2 linked regions of the Danio rerio genome follow. The protein of the gene in region 1 binds, or shares a complex with, the protein of each later gene. Links are inferred from orthologs where the notes say so. Each region holds a gene or a part of one and is shown in the gene's direction. Other genes may lie near its edges.

Region 1 (4,368 bases):
GGCTGTAATCTAAACCAATCCCAAGACTGAGGGCAAGGCCAGGCTTTACTGTTGTTGCCACAGCTGTGAGTTCACTGGGTTCAATAGCACTTCTGTTAAGAGCCTCCTGGACCACTCTGGAGATGTTTTCTCTGTGTAGGCGTTGGGCCACTAATGGGATAATTCCACCCGTTCTGGAAGAGCATTATTAAGTGAACAACACACGCATAGCATGAATTAGAGTAAGTTTATACCGTTTCAGATTTTAGTTTAAAATATGAGGCAGATTGTATGTTTTTTTGGATTTTTCAGTCACCCTTTGCTTTAAAAAAAATCCTTTTTGAGAGTTTGCAGTCTAAGTATCTTGAAATTATAAGGGGTATTTTTTATCATGAACTACTCAAGGGAATGTATGTTGCTCTTTTGTGTGGATCATGATGATTAAAGTGCAGTTGCTGCCTCTAATATTAAATCACTGCAGATTCAGCCTGCGATAAAGCAAAGAAACAGTTTGCTCTGCAACATTTTTGCATTCATGAGCTTGTAGTAAGCTTACGAGCAAATTAAAGTGAAAAAAAGACTTAGAATCGATGATATATGATATACATGATATATTGTTATTGTGAATTCTTTATATATATATATATATATATATATATATATATATATATATATACATACATACATATATATATATATATATATATATATATATACATATATATATATATATATATGTATATATACATATATATATGTATGTATGTATGTATGTATGTGTATGTATATATATATATATATATATATATATATATATATATATATATATATATATATATATATATATAGTTCACAGTTCATAGTTCATATACATATACATAGTTCACAGTTCATAGTTCATATTCATATTCACAGAATTTCTACAAAGTATGTTGTATACTGCAAACTCGCAGACTTTTTGGGTCACATCTATAACGCATGAAAAAACTAAACAAAATATAATTGGTTTAAGTACTAAAACAGAAATAAAAATAAGACAGCTAAAACTAAAATAACTATGACAATGAACAATAAATTAATTATTGTTAATTAATCAATTGTTAATTGTAATTAATAATTTAATTAATAAATAATAATACAAACTATTAATAAATGCTGTTATAATATAGTAATATTAATCAAATACTGTTTGCGGTATATATTATGTATTTTTGGTGAACTCAAGAACATTGAAAATCCTTTAAATTATTGAACATGTTATTTTTGCATGTTTTTGTAGCAACTGAGGAGTTTTCTGAAGGCTGTGACTACTATACTTACTTCAGGTGTGTCTCTTTCTGAGAATGCAGAGATTCACCCAAAATCCTCCCGGTCTCGTCCAGCACCGCCGCCCCGGTCTCATCGCAGCTCGTCTCGATCCCCAAAACTAACCTGGGTCTCGTTGAAGTGCTGAAGACTCTTCTGCTCCAGGACCGCAGAGCTCCAGGCAGACAACTCTGAAACATGCTGCTGTTAACACCGATAGTAGAGCACTTACTGACTGCTTCAACAACAACCTGACAGGTTAGATACGCTTTAACAATTGGGGAAAACTGGTGTTTCTTGGACCATTTTATTCGTTTTAGGAGCCTGTATGAAGAGAGAGGTTACATATAAACACGTCCTACTTACAGCAGGTCAACTTGGGTTCCGTTAGATTATGTTAGATATTTTTTTTCAATATTGAATAAATAACTTTAAGTCTATGGTATGTTTGAAGAATGAATAAATATGCTAATCATAATATCGTTGTTTAAAGTATAAGTAAAGTTCAACACGGGAACCATTATCGCTTACGCTTGTTTCGAGTAGGAAAATAATACAAGAGGAACGAAAGCTCACATGGAAGAGATGTTGTATTCTGAAGTACTTTGGCTGCTGTAACATTGTTTTTATAATTATTATCACTTGTTTTTTTGGCATAGTTGACGTCCACTGCTTTTTCCAATAAGGTAACTTAATGCTCTATTGTACCGCGTCCATGTGTTGTGTTTAGAAAGTTGACAGTCTGATATGGACAAACACTATGGACAAACACAGAAATACATAATATATAGATTTTCTTTGTTAAAAATAGAATTATAATGGGTAACACTTTACTTTGATGGTCCATTTGAGTATTAGTAGACTGCTTAATATCTGTTGATACTGCTCCTTCAACAGACATTTAACTGACTATAAGAAACTTTGCGAGTACATGTCAACTTACACTAACCCTAACCTAACAGTCTACTTATAATCTAATGAAAATTAACTTAGTTGGGATGTAGATGCAGTGTAACTTAAAATCAACAAACGGGCCATCAAAATTAAGCGTGACCTTATAATATGACTATAACATATAGTTGAAGCAAGAAAATGACATATACAGGATTTCTATATTATTTATATAAACGTTAGATGCAAATAAAGTGTCCACTTTTGTGAAGTAAGCTTTTTCATAAGTATAATGTTAAAATATGGGTTAAATGATGTCTCGTTGTCATAAACGTAACAAATGGTTTATCTAAAGATGAAATAACATACTTATTCTGACCTGTACTTATTAAAATATCTAAAATAGTAAGTGATAAAAATACATTGTATTAGATTTAAATGATTTGTTTTGCTTTCAAATGGTATTGGTTCACTGAATGTCTTGGAGTGCATGTATTTAATCTGTATTTTTTTAGGGAAAAAAACAAGATGAAACGGGACATTTTAATGCACAGGTGTCAAACTCAGTTCCTGGAGGGCCGCAGCTCTGCACACAGTTTAGTTTCAACCCTAATTGAACACACCTGATCCAACTAATTGAGTCCTTCAGGCTTGTTTGAAACCTACAGGTTTCTCAGGTCAGAGTTTACCAAGCTTGCAAACCTGCGAAACTTAAGGCATGACCCTGCGTTTCTGGTATGACGCATTCACGTGCGTATGAATGGAAGTGTATGGGAGGAAAAGCCCAGTGTGACCGCAGCTTAAAGCTGCAGTCACACTAGAGTTTGTGCGTGCGAAATTCTGTCGTACAGCTTCTGATGTAAGGGGCAGGATTAAACAAGATGATTAGACATTAAAAAAGAGAGAGAGATAGAGAGAGAAAAGATCTGCGAAACTTGACACACAAGCTTGCGTTTCCAGTCTGAAGCGTTCGCCTGCATATGAATGGAAGTCTATGGGGAGAAAAGTCCAACGTGACCACAGCTTCAGTGTGTTGAAGCAGGGTTGGAACTAAACTGTGCAGGGCAGCGGCACTCCAGGAACTAAGTTTGACACCCTTTCCTTCAATTATTTTAAAATCAAGTATTGCAGCCTTCATTCAAAAGTCTCTCATTTGTAATATGTGAGCATTTTTACTGTACAAAATTTGTCTGTGAACTAAATAAAATAATCATTTATTCATCAAATCGAGTTTAAATATGCAATAAATCGAGATTTAGATTTTAAACCAAATCTCCCAGACCTAGTATATAATAATACAGTTTATACTGCAAAATAATTGTTCTGTCCTCATTATCAGTTAAGATACATTTCTGTATTGAACCTGAGTCAATTTGGAGTCTTAAACTCAGGTTTCAGCAGGGTGTTTTCACACCTCTACTTTGGAAAAAGTCAGAAAAGTGGGTGTGTCCAGCTTTGTTTAGGGGGGAGTGTCGGAGGAAGAAAAGAGGCATAATGTGGGAGCTGACTTTCAGAGTCAAAACACACACACACATAGGGGACGAAGTGACTGTGTTTACATGGACATCTGTAGTCGAATTATTTGCCAAATTATTAAATAGTGGACTTTAACTGCAGTTTGGCTCTTTCATTCAGGGAATTCATTCATGTCCCTCGCGACAAACGAGATATTTGATTCGAGGAACTGCTGTAAGCGTATATTTTTCATGCAATGTTTGATACCGCACAGCAAATAAGAGAATAAACACCCTCCGCATTTAACGGAAACTTAGATGCACTCGGCAGGTAGCGTCAGAAAGCCGTTTGTGTTATTCCGGTCACAAATGCGGTGAAAATCCTACATGAGGTAAAAGTTTGGTTGTGGTGCTAACATGTTTACACTCGGTGCAATAGTTAACTTAGATACGAACAAACTGAATAAACAGAGAGCACTGGTCACTCACTTACCAAATCTGTAGAGACAGGACAATCACCAGCAACTAGAGCCGCGTCTTTATTAAGAGGAGACTACAAGAGATCCGGATCTCAGCGTTTGCAGATGAGAACAGCTCTCAGGTAAACAATAATCCTCCTTAGACATGTAAGTTATTGTTGTCGAGCGTCGCGTACACTGTTAATCCACACGTGACTCCAGCTGCGCTCTCACAGAGAGAAAATGAAAACAAAACTTAACTGCAGCAAACTATAAAAGCA
Region 2 (4,624 bases), on another chromosome or scaffold:
AATAGGCGACACAGTGGTGCAGTGGGTAGCAAGATTGCATAAACTAAATTGGCCATAGTGTATCTAGTGAATGAGGATGTATGGATGTTTTCCAGTCTTGGGTTGCAGTCGGAAGGGCATCCACTGTGTAAAACATATGCTGGATAAGTTGGCGGTTCATTCTGCTGGGGCAACCTCTAATTAATAAAGAGACTAAGCCGAAAAGAAAATGAATGAATGAAAAAACAATATATGACAAACTACATAAAAATGAGAAATAATCTCACTTATAATCTTTAGATCCTCCCAGATTTCAAGTTTATTTGCTGGCCTGTAGAGAAAGACATGATCACTTGCGTCATTTATATTCTTTTACGTTTATAATGTAGTTAAGCTTCTACAACACACACACACACACACACACACACACACACACACACACACACACACACACACAAACACAAACACACACACACAAACACACACACAAACACACACACACACACACACACACACACACACACACACACACACACACACACACACACGTGCATAACTCACTTAGTCTTCAGCAAAGCAGTGAGACTCTCTGAGTTCAGGTGATGGATGATTGCCTCTCGGAGAGTGGGGAGCATTGATAACACTACAAAAAACAAATTACATACTCCATAAATAATTATAACAACATAAACATCAGTTATGGCGGTATTTAGTTTACCTGTCATGTTGCATGTCCTTTGGTTGCTTTCAAAATGAAACTGTCTCCGAGCTTGAGCAATGTATTCAGCTGCCTCTCGCTCCTGCATCTCCTGAATTTTTCTCTGTGCATATTTACCAAGCAGATAAACACCTGCAAATAAAAAGTTTGAGATTACAATATAGTATAGCATCCATGTTAACAAAGTGATATGCTGCAAGCAAGAACTATTCAGTTAAATAAAGCCTTTCTGTTGACTAAAAATACCAGGGCAAAGTCCATTTCAACTTTGATTTGACTATGCCAATAGAAAAACTAGGTGACAGGTGAACTGAGATTGAAGGGCTGAATGTGGAAAAAATATATAATGGTTGTCAACACTGTAATAACACGCTAAACTACACATCACATCATATTAACATGCTATAGCTACAAGTATTTTATTAAAAACAAGAAATAGTTACAGCTAGTGAACAGTCACTGATATGTATGCATGGATGAGGTTCAGTTGCCCACGTTAGTTACCTCCAACAAACACCCCAGTGAAGATGAATTTCCTCTTATGGCGTTTGATGAAATTCCATGTAGAACTCAACATTTTAACAGACTTGACACCGAAAATTAAAAGAAATAAGAGAAGCAAGAGCGGGTTTAGACGTAACTCACTAGCTAGCACAATGCTACATGGCAATAAGTTCTCATGTTAGCTGCAGACAGGCTAACTGCAGATAACAGATAGAGTCTATTCGGTCGATCGATTACTCGGTCTGTTCACCACCCTGAGGTGTCCATCGGTTATTACAGTCCTCCGTAAACACGTGCAGGGAAAACGCTGTTGTTTTTTATATTTGTGCTGACTTTACTTTATTTGTACGCTTACAAGTTTGTTATTGACACGTATATAGGGATGCAAGAAGTCGGTGTTGATCCCGAGAAGAATGATTTTCTGCAGCCCTCAGATAGTGAGGTACAAACATGGATGGCAAAGGCGTTTGATATGGTAAAGCTTCTTTGGTGTTTAACGTTTCTTTTATTGAGGTAAAGTTGGTTTTATATTAGGACATTCTGAATTTTTCCCTTAATAATATAATTTATTATAATATAAATTATAGTGGGTAGTGCTGTTGCCTCACAAGCATGAAGGTCGCTGGTTCAGTTGGCGTTTCTGTGTGGAGTTTGCACGTTCTCCCCGTGTTCGCGGAAAAAATACGTACTTTTAGAACCACTTTGCTTTTGGAACTGGAATTCCAGAAGGGAACAGACTTGACTGCTACACCGGGTTGCGCACCCCTGCCCTAAAATTCACTCCATCTGAAATGTTCATCTATTAACTAAAATTGATTAAAACAATAATAGTACTAGAGTTATGACAACAATGAGAGTGACTGAGTTGAGTTTCATTAATGGAACCCTTCCCATAGAGAAGATACATGGATAAATAGATCAATAAACTCACTTTAAATACAATGCCGATGAGATTAAGTAAATTGTGTAATGGGTGGTTTAGTTTAAACCAGCAACAACAATTTTATGTGTTCCATGTTACCTAAATGTCTGTTTAAAGCCCACCAAAAAGCCTAATTTTAGGCCACACTACAGTCATTACTATTATTTTACATTTATTTGTTAACCTAGCGCATTTAAAATTTGCTTAACTTCTTGTCCTTGTTTTATCCATCATAATAATAATTTTATGTTTTAATCAATTTAGATAAAAAAAAAAAAAAGAATTTTGACTGAGAATGTTAATGAAAGTCTATGAGGGAATGCATTTTGCGTCAGCGGTGTATTTCTCGGCACAACACTGGTTTCCCCCACAAGTCAGAAGACATGCTGTAGGTGAATTTGGTAAGCCAAATTGTCTGGAGTGTTTGTCTGTGAATGAGTGTATGGGTGTTTCCTAGCAATAGGTTGCATCACCTGCGTAAAAATATGCTGGATGAGTTGGTGGTTCCTTCCACTGTGGCGACCCCTAATTAATAAAGGGATTAAGCTGTAAAGAAAATGAATAAATGAATATCATCAGCCAATGACTATCAGAGCACAACAGTGCTCACTCACAGTCGATCAAATAGTGCTAATGTTGTTCTTAAGTCCTTTTTACATGTGGTTTCACACAGAATAAGAAAAATACCATGGTAAGCAATATAGGGATCGTGTCACAAGTTGGCACTAAACAAATGTACCAATGTAAAACCAACTTTACATTACCCTTAATGTTTCTTTTTCAGTATTCATCATGCCTACTGTCATATCCTCTTTTAGTTATTGCAGTACAAAGTTATAGTTACTGTGAAATCACAATAATTTAACTTGTTGCATTTGTTTTGGTCAAGTTAAAATATGCTTTAAGAAAGATATTAATACTAATTACAGTGTTTTTAAAATAGTTTTTTTTCCAAAGAATAATTATTGTCACTTGTCTTTGAAAGAGAAAAACTATTGTGTGTATTGTTATATGCAAATTATTATTTATTTTCTATGAAGACCATTTCAATGTGTTCATGTCATTGGCCCGTGAACATTTCCTGCTTGTTATCAAACTATTTCATAACTGTAACAAGAGGCAATTCAATCAAACCTTAATGTAAAACAGCTATCACAACATTATTTATCAATATGTGGCTCTTTTTGGATTCTCAGAAGCTATAGACCAATTACCATGTTTGTAAACATTCAGGATGCGCACGCAGGGAGGTGGCAGAAAAAAACGGGATTGCCAGCATTTACAGCGAGGGAATGACATCAGATGCGGTGCAGAGTTTGTTGTTGTCTTAGAAATAAAATGTATTACTTACACATTATATATATTATTTACATAATGCTTTCAGTATATTATAACAGCTCGTCACCCAGTGACAAGCACAGTGATTTGGCAAAATTAACGTTAAAGTGAGAGGCGTTTATCTGACAGGTCCATTTGCGATAGCACCCTCCCAATGAATATTGGATAAGACGAAGTGACCAAGCATCCAGCCCGAAATATACAATCTCATTGAAGCTCCAAGTGATTTTACAAGAGAGAAGTTAAAGGTCTACAAGTCTTTGGATGCCAACAATGTTGTTCTTTGTGGTCATGTGCAAGAAATAATGCTCCATGATGACCAGATTCAACACTGTATAGAGCTAAAAACTGAGATTCTGCTCAGCCAAAGACAAGCAAACAAGACGGAGCTAACATTATACAAGGCCTGGGTAATTAATCACCAACACGCAAAACGACTGCATTCTGACAGTGAACTTCACCTGTACGGCAGGGTATGTGAACACATAAAGGTAAAGTTGGTTTTATATTTGCACATTCAGACTTTCTCTTTAATAATATAATTTCATAAAAATATTATTTGTAAACTGTAAATAGCGAAATCATATTAGCAGCAGTCAATGACTATCAATATACAACATTGTTCACAGTCAAATAAACAGTGCTAATGTTGTTTTCAAGTCACACTTGCAGGTTATTTCAGACCGAATATTCAGAGTGCCGTGGTAAACAATATAGGGAGTTTGTCACAAGTTGTCACTGAATGAATGCGTGAATATAAAACTAAGTTTACCTTAATAAACATAACTTTCACGTTTCATGCTTAGCATTCAGTGTACGCAGTTTAATTAACCATATTTAACTGTTTTTGCTGAAGTCATTTCTGCAATCAAAAACGAGTAATGTGTATGATTCAGCATAGCGTGAACTGACCTGATATGATATGAGAACTGCAAAGTCCAGCATTTCTAATTAGCTCCTCACTTCATTCAGCTCCCATTTAGCCAAAGACGTCTGCATTCGGCATCAAAGCAGTGTTTGGTGTATGGTATAAGTTTAGTTTTCTGATTTTGAACTCGAATTCGGCATCCTACAGCACAACACAACATCTTTCCCATTGCAGCCTTTTTTTTTTTTGCAACCGGGGACCCGTGTGATGTCATGGGTGACGTAGGTTGGTAATA

Evidence for each region.
Region 2: the proteins of adat3 (region 1) and adat2 are in contact, whole or in part, in a crystal structure (PDB 9HMM), measured with the Mus musculus proteins. The link is inferred for Danio rerio from reciprocal best matches to the Homo sapiens genes ADAT3 and ADAT2. Residues at the interface, in NP_001094076.1 of Mus musculus: Val217, Ala218, Pro220, Leu221, His223, Ile229, Asp230, Ala233, Gln236, Gly237, Glu270, Ser272, Pro274, Val276, Val290, Met291, Met294, Ala295, His298, Ala299, Pro311, Asp312, Leu318, Phe319, Val321, Arg324, Asp326, Leu327, Asn328, Pro349; in NP_080024.3 of Mus musculus: Val62, Asn63, Lys66, Asn67, Ala68, Thr69, His71, Met74, Ile77, Leu81, His85, Pro91, Cys107, Ile108, Met109, Ala112, Ala113, Leu116, Met117, Arg130, Phe131, Val137, Leu138, Ile140, Asp144, Leu145, Pro146, Asn147, Thr148.

Annotation. Positions count from the first base shown.
Region 1 is NC_133184.1:42,766,640-42,771,007, reverse strand, and holds the start of adat3 (probable inactive tRNA-specific adenosine deaminase-like protein 3), read left to right. Parts: upstream 1-1,484; 5' UTR 1,485-1,542; exon of another isoform or gene 1,543-1,594; intron 1,595-1,806; exon of another isoform or gene 1,807-1,970; intron 1,971-4,368.
Region 2 is NC_133195.1:41,037,780-41,042,403, reverse strand, and holds the start of adat2 (tRNA-specific adenosine deaminase 2), read left to right. Parts: upstream 1-1,500; 5' UTR 1,501-1,583; coding exon 1,584-1,676; intron 1,677-4,624. UniProt on the Homo sapiens protein: Probably participates in deamination of adenosine-34 to inosine in many tRNAs.